Linked DNA regions of Callithrix jacchus. The protein of the gene in region 3 binds, or shares a complex with, the protein of the main gene of each other region. Links are inferred from orthologs where the notes say so. Each region holds a gene or a part of one and is shown on either strand. Other genes may lie near its edges.

Region 1 (3,646 bases), on a different chromosome or scaffold from region 3:
TCAGCAGGCCCCAGATGCGGATGACCACCATCAGCTCCCGAAGCATGCCCAGCGAGGTGCCGTCCCGCAGAAAGCTGTGGCCCGGCCGCAGCAGGGAGCCCTGCAGGAAAGAGGCGCCCAGCATGGCAGGGGCAGCGGGGAGCAGATGGTGAGGGGATGAATCTCAGGGTGCGTAGAACCCCGGCCTGGGGGCGATGGGCAGGGTCTGGGACGTTTGTGGAGGTCAGGACTTGAAGAGTCATCCCGTCCCTGACCCAAAAGTCCACAGGGCCGAGAGGAGGCTCCCGCTGACGCCAACACCCCTACCCACATTCGGGGGAGCAGCTGACCCTCCCACAGCTAAGTGCCCCCCCTCCCACCACCGCGGCTGCACTGGGAGGCCAGAGGACCAGGGAAGGGAGGCTCCAGGGGGTGGCCCCTGGCAGCCTAAAGCCCCACAAAGAGCAGAGGGTCTTCAAACTGTGCCTGACGGCCACGGTGGAAAGACAGGGGCAGGATGGTGCCCAGCTTGCAGACCTGGAGGTGGGGGAGTGGACCGAGCCTGCTGGGGCCTGCAGTGAGTTCCTGACTTCAAAGCCGCCTACCCCAGGTGAAGGGGTCTGGGGAGGGTAATGGGGGGGGAGGCAGCGGAGCAGGAGCTTCGAGTAGGGGTGGGGCTGAGAAGGGGCAGGGCCTGGGAGGCGGGACTTTGAGAATGGGCAGGAAGGAGGAGACAGGGCTCCAGGGCGGGGCAGGGCTTCAGGAGCTGCGGGCTAGGAAGCGGGGCTTTGAGAAGAGGCAGGGCCAGGAGGTGGGGCTCCAGGAAGGGGCGGGGCTGCGGTGTTGAGAAGCAAGGCTTGGGAGGTGGGGCCTCTGAGGGGCGGGGCCGGGGAGGTGGAACACGGACATGGGCGGGGCCAGGGAGGCGGGGCCCTAGTGAGGGGCGGGGCCTTGGAGGGCAGGCGCACCTGGTTGGGCAGGCTGGCCAGCAGGTAGAGCACGAAGTCGCCCACCCACTGCAAGAGCTGCTGCAGCGCCTGCAGCGTGTTCATGTCCAGGACAAACTCCTCCGTCTTGAGGTTGATCATGACCTTGTCAATGTCTGCAAGGAGATGCGGTTCAGGTCAGGCCGGGCCTCCGGGACACACGGGGTGACCTAAATGCTCCCCACAGTCCTGCACTGAGCACCCACCCAGTGCCGGGCAAGCGGGGGCCCACACTGGGAATGAGACGCGGGTGATGGCATGGCCTGATGGAGATGAACCGGGAGCTCACTGCCCGCCCACCCCGGGGGCCGCTGTGCTCAGCACCAACCAGCTTCTCTCGGCCTGCAGACCTTGGGTGGGCAGGTCCCCATGCCAGGGATGCACTGCTCTGACCCGGCCCACTGGTGCACATCTGGCCCCTGCTCGGGGTGGGCTCTGTGAACGCAGGACATGTCCACACTGTGCAGCTGTAGCCACCCCCACCCCACACCTGGCGATGGTTACACACCCAGCAGGTACCTCTGGGATGGCGACTAGGGTGGCCCCACAGAAACTACCACGAATGCGCACACCGCTCCCAGCTACTGGGAGTGCCATGTGCCTATAGAGAACTGGATACTCTAATTTTACAGTAAATGATAACCCCAATTTTGAAAGAAACAGCCTGTCAGATGCAGTGGCTCACGCCTGCAATCCCAGCACTTTGGGAGGCTGAGGTGAGTGGGATGCCACGTGCTGGGCGGGCCTGGGCAAGCTGCTTAGCCTCTCTGGGCCTCAGTCCCCTTATGGCAAATGGGGAGGAGCGGACCTGCCCCACAGGACTAGGTGTCAGGTCCCAGCGTAGGAGCAGCAGCCTGGCCCCCAGGAGAGAGGTGGAAGGATCACGTCAGCTCAGTAGGTCAAGACCAGCCTGGACAACACAGTGAGACCCTAAATAGTTAAACCAAAAAATTAAAAACCGAGTATGGTGGCGCACGCCTGTAATCCCAGCTACTCCAGAGGCTGGGGAGAGAAGACAGCATGGAAGGCAGAGGCACCACACTGCAGCCTGGGTGACAGAGTGAGACCCTGTCTCTAAAAGGTCGGGCACGGTGGCTCACGCCTGTAATCCCAGCACTTTAGGAGGCCAAGGCATGGGGATCATTTGAGGTCAGGAGTTCGAGACCAGCCTGGCCAACATGGTGAAACCCTGTCTCTACTAGAAATACAAAAACTAGCTGGGCGTGGTGACACACGCCTGTGATCCCAGCTACTCGGGAGGCTGAAGCAGGAGAATCCCTTGAACCCAGGAGGTGGAGGATGAAGTGTGCAGAGATCCCGCCACGGCCCTCCAGCCTGGGCGACAGAGCGAGACTCCATCTCAAAAGATTAAATAATACAGTAAGTAAAGGGTGAAAGGAGCCCGAGGCTGGGGCGCGGGACGGGACCCACCGACGTCGGTGATCTTGGCACAGATCTCGGTCAGCCGGTCTCCGGGGCTCTTGTCGGGCGTGTTGAGGAAGTGGGGGCGCAGCAGTGACTTCAGGGTGGAGCTGATGGCGATGAGGAAGAGCTTGGTGTGGTAGTCGCACACGCGGGTCACCGTGCAGGGGGACAGCTTGCAGAGCGAGGCCTTCATGGCCAGGATCCGGGTGGAGAGGACCTGGAAGGCGGATGGTGTGAGCAGGAAGCCGGTGTCACCCCGAGGGGCTGGGGCAGAGGTGCCCGCCAAGGCTCCAGCTGGGGAGAAGGGCAGTCAGGCTCTGGCACCAGGTGCTGGGTGAGCTGGGCAAGCTGCTTAGCCTCTGCACCTCAGCAACCTCACAGCAAAAGAGGCCTAATGTGTTAAGAGGAACCTTCCCAGGTAAGGAGGGAAAGCAAGTGCTTCTCTCAGGCTCAACTCTACTGGACGGGCCTCTGGAAACACCCCACCCCACACACAGCCTCACCTGCCGCAGGCTACTTGCCCCTTCTGCCCTCCACCTGCCACGGAGCCCCTGCCTGCCATGGGGACCCCCCCCACCAGCTACCACATCTGCCACAGGGACCTCCATGACTGCTGCAGGGACTTCCCCCACCCTCCACGGGACCCCTCTCCCTGCCGCTGGCCTCTCACTGACCACAGAGCCCCTGGCTATCCCAAGGGCAACACACCTGCCTGGGACCCCACCTGCCACAGGGAAAGCCCCACCTGCCTGGGACCCCACCTGCCACAGGGACAGCCCCACCTGCCTGGGGACCCCACCTACTGCAGGGACAACCCCACCTGCCACAGGGACAGCCCCACCTGCCTGGGGACCCCACCTGCCACAGGGACAGCCCCACCTGCCTGGGGACCCCACCTGCCACAGGGACAGCCCCACCTGCCTGGGGACCCCACCTACTGCAGGGACAACCCCACCTGCCACAGGGACAGCCCCACCTGCCTGGGGACCCCACCTGCCACAGGGACAGCCCCACCTGCCTGGGGACCCCACCTGCCACAGGGACAGCCCCACCTGCCTGGGGACCCCACCTGCCACAGGGACAGCCCCACCTGCCTGGGGACCCCACCTGCCACAGGGACAGCCCCACCTGCCTGGGGACCCCACCTGCCACAGGGACAGCCCCACCTGCCTGGGGACCCCACCTGCCACAGGGACAGCCCCACCTGCCTGGGACCCCACCTGCCACAGGGACAGCCCCACCTGCCACAGGGACAG
Region 2 (3,646 bases), on a different chromosome or scaffold from region 3:
AACTTTTGGGTGGGGTCATGGGAGTGTCTTACTATGCTGCCCAAGTTGGTCTCAAACTCCTAGCCATAAGGCATCTTCCTGCCTTAGCTTCTCAAGTAGCTGGTCTCAAACTCCTTAGCTCATGGGATCTCCCAGCATCGGCCTTCCAACGTGCTGAGATGACAGTCTCAAAATCCTAGCCATAAGCCATCCTACTGTCTCAGTTTCTTAAGTAGCTGGTCTCAAACTCCTGAGCTCAAGGGATGTGCCCACGTCGGCCTCCCAAAGTGCTGAGATGAGAGGCATGAGCCACCATGCCTGGCCCTTGTGCTCTTTGAGTGCTGTTTTGTGCAATTTGAACTCTAAAAGCAATGTTTCTCAGAGGGTTAATCACTGACTAACCACATCAAAATCACCTGGAATACATGTTAAGAGTTGCAGATTCCTGGCCCTGTTTACTGATTGACTGCTGCTTAGGCCACATAATCCACATTTAACAAACATCCAGACAATCCTCATGCACTCTGAAGTTTGAGAAAGACAGGTCTCGGGCCCAGAAGTCTTTATTTATTGTTTTAGAGCTTTAAGAGTTTCTAGAAGTTTCTGTTTACCTATACCTAACCATTGGCCTTGGCCTCCTTACTAACATAGCATAAATTAATTGTTCTCTTTAGTGTATTGGGTGGTGGGATGGTCTGTGGATGATGGGGGATGGTGGTTGGGAGGGAGAGAGGATTTTTTTTTTTTCTTTTTAGAGTGAAAGACTCACTTCGTTGCCTGGCTATACAGTGGCATGATCCCAGCTTACTGCAAGCTCTAACTCCTGGGCTCAGGCCATGAGAGAGACTCTTTGGATATGAGTTAGGGAAGTTGTTTCTCTTAGTCTTGGCTCTGCAGTAACTTGATCTTGAACAGTTCCATAGCATAGTGGTTATGATTGGGGAGCCAGAGTCCTGAGTCACGGCTTTGCGACATACTAATTGTGTACCTGTAGGTAACTCCTATAACCTATCTGTGACTGTTTCCACGCCTCTCATGTGCCTGTTTCCCTTAGATCCATTTCTTTCACTTCCCCTGCAAGCTGTATTTTCCAGGCCCTCTACTAGTTGGCTTTGGTTATTGAGAGGTGCCGAAGAAGATTAGAGGACGGAGGTTACAATGAGCCAATATTGCACCACTGCACTCCAGCCTGACGACAGAGTGAGACTGTCTCAAAGAAAAAAAAAGAAGAAAAGAAAAATGTTATTGTCTTTAATACTAGAAGTGCCTTTTTCATTAAACACACACAACCCTTCCCCTTAGTTGACTTTTAAGATATTTCTAAGACAGTAACACTTGCAGACTCATATGGTATGAATAAAATATGTAATTACAGTGAGTAGACATGAGAACAGAATGATGAGATCAGCTTTGGATGGATTTTTTTCTTCAGAGTCAAGAAGTTTTGAACTGGATTTAGAAGGAGGTGACAGGTGGGAACTGTCAGCAAGCAGTCAGGAGATGGGATGTGGCCTGGAGGATCTGTGTAGAGCCTGCTGTGTTCATGAACAGCAGCTTATATAGGGAAGTCACATGCCCTCTGTTCCCCCACCCCCACACCCTTTTCATTCCCACTGTCTTGCCCCCTGCCTAGAATGTCTTCTTTCCTTCCTGTGGCTGAATCCTACCTTCTCTTCATATCCCAGTTCAAATCATGGTAGACAAGACCTATCACAGCTTGGCTCCCGTCTACCTTCCCCTTACTGCTTCCATAGGACCATTTACTAGCTCTCAAAGAGGGAGGAACCCAAGGTGAGGAGGAGTGCACAGAAGAAGGGAGCAGTTGCTTCCTTTGTCTTGCCCAAATGCTGTTACTTTCATTTTACTTATTGAATGTATGATAATATACAAAAGAGTATATGGAAAGTCTTTGTAGACTTGGAATTAGACTTTACATATAGACCATCTGTGAGCCCACCACTCAAGAATTAAACCACCGCCAGGTGCGGTGGCTCAAGCCTGTAATCCCAGCACTTTGGGAGGCCAAGGTGGGTGGATCACGAGGTCAAGAGATCGAGACCATCCTGGTCAACATGGTGAAACTCTGTCTCTACTAAAAATACAAAAATTAGCTGGGCATGGTGGCGCGTACCTGTAATCCCAGCTACTCGGGAGGCTGAGGCAGGAGAATTGCCTGAACACAAAAGGTGGAGGTTGCGGTGAGCCAAGATCGCGCCATTGCACTCCAGCCTGGGTAACAAGAGCAAAACTCCGTCTCAACAAAAAAAAAAAAAAAAAAAAAAAAAAAGAATTAAACCATCATCAAAACTATTAAAGGTCCCTGTGTGCCCCTCACTGTTTTCGGTAGAGCACGGTGGATTTTACCACATGCTGCCTCTCCTGCTATTTCTGTCCTTACCTTTCTAGAAAAGGCTGCAGTGAGAGGATTCCGCTCATGCCCCACCACGACTGCCTAGGTAGTGCCAGATTGCTATCTGGCCTCATTCCGGGGGGATTCATTTGCTTTACTCTGGGGTTTGCCAGTGAAAGTCTTGATGATGAGCAGGATCTCTGTCCCTTGCAGGTCAGACCGGGAAGCTGATGTATGTGATGCACAACTCAGAGTACCCATTGAGCTGTTTTGCCCTCTTTGAGAATGGCCCTTGTCTTATTGCTGACACCAACTTTGATGTGCTTATGGTGAAGCTGAAGGGCTTTTTCCAGAGTGCTAAGGCCAGCAAGATTGAGACCCGGGGCACCCGGTACCAGTACTGTGACTTCCTGGTGAAGGTGGGCACGGTCACAATGGGGCCCAGTGCCCGGGGCATCTCTGTGGAGGTAAGACCTTGGTGAAAATAGGAGCAGGATATGCTAAGGGGGCTGTTTGGTAAAGGGCTCTGAAGATTTTCCAGTCCTTTATTTTGTTTGAGACAGAGTCTTGCTCTTTCACCCAGGCTGGAATGCAGTGGTGCAGTCTTGGCACACTCCAGCCTTGATTTCCAGGGGTCAAGTGATCCTCCCACCTCAGCCTCCTAAGCAGCTGGGACTACACCCACCTAATTAAAAAAATTTTTTTTCAGGCTGGGTGTGGTGGCTCACGCCTGTAATCCCAGCACTTAAGCTGAGGCTGGTGGATCAACTGAGGTCAAGAGTTGGAGACCAACCTGACCAACATGGAAGAACCCGCTCTCTACTAAAAATACAAAAAAAAATTGGCTGGGCGTGGTGGCACGTGCCTGTAGTCCCAGCTACATGGGAGGCTGAGGCAGGAGAATCACTTGAACCTGGGAGGTGGAGGTTGCGGTGAGCTGAGATCGTGCCACTGCACTCCAGCCTGGGCGACAAGAGTGAGACTCCGTGTCAAAAAAAAAAAAGTTTTTTTTAGTAGAAATGAGGACTTACTATGTTGCCCATGCTGGTCTCAAACTCTTGGGCTCAAGTGATCCTCCCACCTCAGCCCCCTAAAGTGCTGGGATTATAGTTGTGAGCCACCACACCTGGCCGTCAGTCCTTCTCAATTTAGACAGATATTTACCTGATCTCTAACTCCAAGGCATCTGTGCTGCTTCTCTGTGAATCGTTTATAATTTCTTTGATTATTCAGAGACTCTCTAACACAAGATGGGAAGTGGGAAGCGGGAAGCGGGAAGCTGGGTTCAAAGCAAGGGGAAAGCTTAATAAGGAAGGG
Region 3 (4,257 bases):
GAGCTCCACAGAAAAGGGGATCAGAGTGAGACTGGGCTTCACAAGTCTTGTGATGTATCTGCAGTCACCTCTTCTGCTTATGCTGGGGGAGAAGGAATCCAACATGCCTCCCATGGAATGGCTGCTGAAGGAGCAGCAGCAAGGACAGCAGGTGGCATGGCAGGAACAACAGGCCCCAGAGCAGGTGTGGCAATAGCAGGCACAGCAATGAGTCCTGCAACAGGCGCTGTGAGCATAGCAGCAAGCAAACCTGCAGGCCCAGGCCAGGTGACCACAGCGCTGGCGGGAGCAGCCATCAAAAATCCGGGAGAAAATGAATCCAGCAAGTCCATGGCAGGTGCTGCCAACATATCCTCAGATAGTATGAACTTGGCCTTGGTGGGTGTTGCAAGCACCTCCTTGGCAGGTACTTCTTCCACCACGATGGCGGGGGCCGCCCATCTCTCCCAAGACAGCAGCTTGAGTATGGCATTTGCAGGCAGTATGACGACAGGCAAGTGTGTGGCAGAAAGAACTCAAGGACCAGCATTGGGACCCCTCGTGTCCACCTTGCAAAGCGAAGGCTACATGAGTGAACGGAATGGAAGCCAGAAGCTTTCCCAGCCCAGTGCTGAAGCCTGGAATGAAAAAAAGGAAAGAAGAAAAAAGAAGGACAAACGTCCCAGTAGGAAAAGTTCCCATCACCGCAAGGCAGGTGAAAGTCACCGCAGGACAGCAGGAGACGAGACCCAGAAAGCATCCTCCCACCGGTCTATATCCGGCCATAAAAACACGAGAGATGACAAAAAAGAACAAGGGCGCAGCAAGGTAAGGGGCAAGGGACGTGGCTCCTCTCGCAAGAGCTCCAGCCACAGTTCCACCAAAAAGGAGTCGAGAACAACTCACAAACTGGGGAAGAACCGATCCACATCTAGTACAGGAGCTTTAAGTAAGAAACCCAGTAAAATCATGTCTTTTTTAAGGAGCCTCAGGGCTACTGCTGGTTCAAAAACAAGGGTCACATCACACGACAGAGAGGTAGACATCGTGGCTAAGATGGCGGAGAAGCAAAACATAGAGGCCAAAGTGGAGAAAGCCCAGGAGCTGGAGGTGATCAGTGGCACTGTGACATCCAAGATGATGGAGATGACCATCTTTGAAACCAAATCCATTTAAATAGGAGCCAGGGCTACAACTCCCAGGGATCTGGGAAGTATCCCTAGAGAGCCCATCCCAGCTTTCTTTACTGCAGTTTAAATAATAAAGGAAATCATACAACCCCTAAATAAATAAAATCTCCTGTTTGAATTTTTTCTGCCCCATAGCCTGGCAGTGACTTCACAGTGGCTTCTGTGATGGTGACCACATTACAGCCTGAGACCCCAGCCTCCAGGCAGGTAGAGCCCTACCACCCACCCAGGCCCAGCAGAGCCAATGTGAGTGTTTTGCTTTGCCTCAACCCCTTTCTGCCTTTGCTTCCCCTAGACTGTCAAAGTCACAGATTAAGAGCTGGATGCACCACCACCACGTCCCCATGCCCATTCTCTTCCCTGAATGCTCCTGAACATGGACATTCAGTCCAGTCCATAGACTAGGCAGAGACAGGATTCACATCCCCTCAGAGGGTATTCAGGGGAGGAAGGAGCAGTGCAGCAGCATTTGTAGGCAATTAGAATAGGAAATCTATGCATCTAGATCAGGAATTGGCAAACCATATTCTGAGGTCCAAATCTTGCCAGCTGCTTGGATTTGTAAATAAAATTTTACTGGAACATAGCCACAGCCATTCCTTTGCATATTGTCTATGGCTGCTTTCACGCTAAAATGACAGATATGAGTAGTTGCAATGGAGACCATATGGCCTGCAGAGTCTAAAATATTATCTGGGCCTTCACAGAAAATGTGCTGACTCTTGATCTAGTCTTAACAAGTCTTCCTCCTAGGTGTAGACAGTGGAGAAATTCTCACATATGCTTGCCAGTAGACAACTAGGAGAATGTTTATAGTAAAACAAATTGTAATAGCAAAACCCTGGAAATCCTCAAGTGTTCATCAAACAGGAGAATTAATAAGCTATGAAATAAACTACAGTGCATAATCTACAACAGTGTAAATGAATAGCGGCTATTAGAAAGGATACATTTTTTTTGTTTTTTTTTTTTGAGATAGAGTCTCAGTTTGTCACCCAGGCTGAAGTGCAGTGAGGTGATCTTGATTCACAGTAATCTTGGCCACCCAGGGTCCAGCAATTCTAGTGCCTCAGCTTCCAAGTAGCTGGGATTACAGGCATGTGCCACCATGCCCAACTAATTTTGTGTATTTTTAGTAGAGACAGGGTTTTGCCATGTTGACCAGGCTGGTCTCAAATTCCTGACCTCAAGCAGTCCACCCTCCTTGGCCTCCCAAAGTGCTGGGATTACAGGCATGAGCTACTGTGCCCAGCTAGCATGGATAAATCTCACATAATATGGGATACTAAAAGCAAGTCACAAAAATATATATGATATAGTTCAATTTGTAGAACAGTTCAAAAATAAGATTCAACTATGGGATATATATTTGCTTAAAGTATAGAGAAAAACAAGGAAATGATAATCACAAAATTCAGGATATGGATAAAAAAAGGAAAGAAGAGAAAGGGTAAAGGGAGAGATGTCTGATCTGGGAGGCACACACAAACAGCTTCAACAGAATCATGATTATTCCATTTCTTAAACAAGAGGGTGTATTCATGGAGGTTTGTTATTGTGTCTTTATTTTAACATCTCTGAAATCAGGATTGTTTTTAAATCACTTCCAGCAAAGTGTCAATTGTATGTCACTGCCTTAGAAACGCCCTATCCAATTTATTTCACCAATGTTTTCCTTTTTACACCCACACAAGAGAGATTTATGACAAAAAAAATCTAACTCTGAAAGACATCTTTCAATAGGTACGAAACAAAAATTCTAAGTAACATAAAAATATTCAGAATATAGAAACATGGAAAATGTTTAAATGTATTAAGAAATAAAATAGTCCAAAATGCTGTGTACTAACATGATGTAAATTATGTGTTCATGTGGAAGTTAATCCCTAGAAACGGGATTGTAAATTTTAAAAAGTTTTATTGTAAAAAAAATTGTCTTTCCATTAAAAAAAAAAAAACCTGTAAAATGAATCCATGAAAAACATTACAGTATTAACATCAGATAATAAAAATTCAATTTGAGAAAAATGATTCTGGGAGCCATGTGTGTTCATGTAAGTCCAGGAGGGGAGCAACTGCTCAGCCTTTTGAGTCTTTGCTCATTCTCTGCAGCAGTACCTTGGAGGACAGAAGTTGAGTTTCTGGCAAAACTTAGGGACTTTCTCTGAAGACCAAATATGTGTAGTGCAGATGGAGGAGGTGAGAAGCAAGGTATTCTGGGAGGAGTAGTGGCCTGTCAGTATCAGGGGAATCCCTTCTCAGTTGCTCTGGTGGGCGGCTGGAAAATCTCACCTTGTGGCTTTCAATAAAGACCATAGAACCTGAGATTAAGATGTTCTGGGAGTCGACTCTTGAAACAGTGGATACAGTTAGATGGAGAGAGAGAGGCACACACTCAGAAGTCTGAGAGGGCCTTTGGGAAAGCCACACAGGAGTGTGACAGGTTGGCAGGTGGGGTAGAGGAGAGAGATAAAGCGGAACTCCTGTCAAAGCCTTTGGTCTGGAGTTCCAGACTTACAGCTATGCCAGAGTCTGAATTATCCTAGCTACAAATGGCTTAATCTCATAATTGTGTAGACCATGGCTTTATCTTTTGTTTTCCTTCTAGTCTTGTTTTATGCACCCTCCCCCGTCTGAAGGGGAGGGTGCACTCTCTCCATCCTGTACAGCATGAACATAGTTCATCCACCATGCAGGGTGTTAGCTGAGCAGACCTCCAATGTACACAAATGCAACTTAAGTAAAGTAGAGGCGGGGACTTGCCCACCACAGCATGCTCTGCCACGTACTTTGCTGCAATTCCTTTTCTATCTTGATACTTCATCAAGAGAAAGATGCATAAATATGTATTTCAAAGCAACAGGTCTCTTCCTCAGAGGGAGATGTCAACTGGGGCATCAAGTCAATACCCCTATCAGATAAAAGACAATGTTTTTAACAGCAATATTTGTCACCATGGTAGCAATTCTGCCGCTGCAAGTGTAATGAGAGTAGATGGCTGATTACTAACCAATGTTCCAAACTTAAAGTCTGGCGTTACACACATAAGCACAAAGATGACAAACGGATATTTTGCCAAAAGCAATAT

The links.
Region 1: MED7 (region 3) and MED16 share a complex: the UniProt entries of both Homo sapiens proteins name them as parts of the mediator complex. The link is inferred for Callithrix jacchus from reciprocal best matches to the Homo sapiens genes MED7 and MED16.
Region 2: MED7 (region 3) and MED20 share a complex: the UniProt entries of both Homo sapiens proteins name them as parts of the mediator complex. The link is inferred for Callithrix jacchus from reciprocal best matches to the Homo sapiens genes MED7 and MED20.

Annotation. Positions count from the first base shown.
Region 1 is NC_133523.1:820,062-823,707, forward strand, and holds part of MED16 (mediator of RNA polymerase II transcription subunit 16), read right to left. Parts: intron 2,608-3,646; coding exon 2,397-2,607; intron 1,082-2,396; coding exon 948-1,081; intron 101-947; coding exon 1-100. UniProt on the Homo sapiens protein: Component of the Mediator complex, a coactivator involved in the regulated transcription of nearly all RNA polymerase II-dependent genes.
Region 2 is NC_133505.1:50,414,777-50,418,422, reverse strand, and holds part of MED20 (mediator of RNA polymerase II transcription subunit 20), read left to right. Parts: intron 1-2,542; coding exon 2,543-2,796; intron 2,797-3,646. UniProt on the Homo sapiens protein: Component of the Mediator complex, a coactivator involved in the regulated transcription of nearly all RNA polymerase II-dependent genes.
Region 3 is NC_133503.1:19,917,934-19,922,190, reverse strand, and holds the start of MED7 (mediator of RNA polymerase II transcription subunit 7), read left to right. Parts: upstream 1-1,370; 5' UTR 1,371-1,415; intron 1,416-4,257. Other genes in the region: GARIN3 (Golgi-associated RAB2 interactor protein 3), read left to right, coding at 1-1,155. UniProt on the Homo sapiens protein: Component of the Mediator complex, a coactivator involved in the regulated transcription of nearly all RNA polymerase II-dependent genes.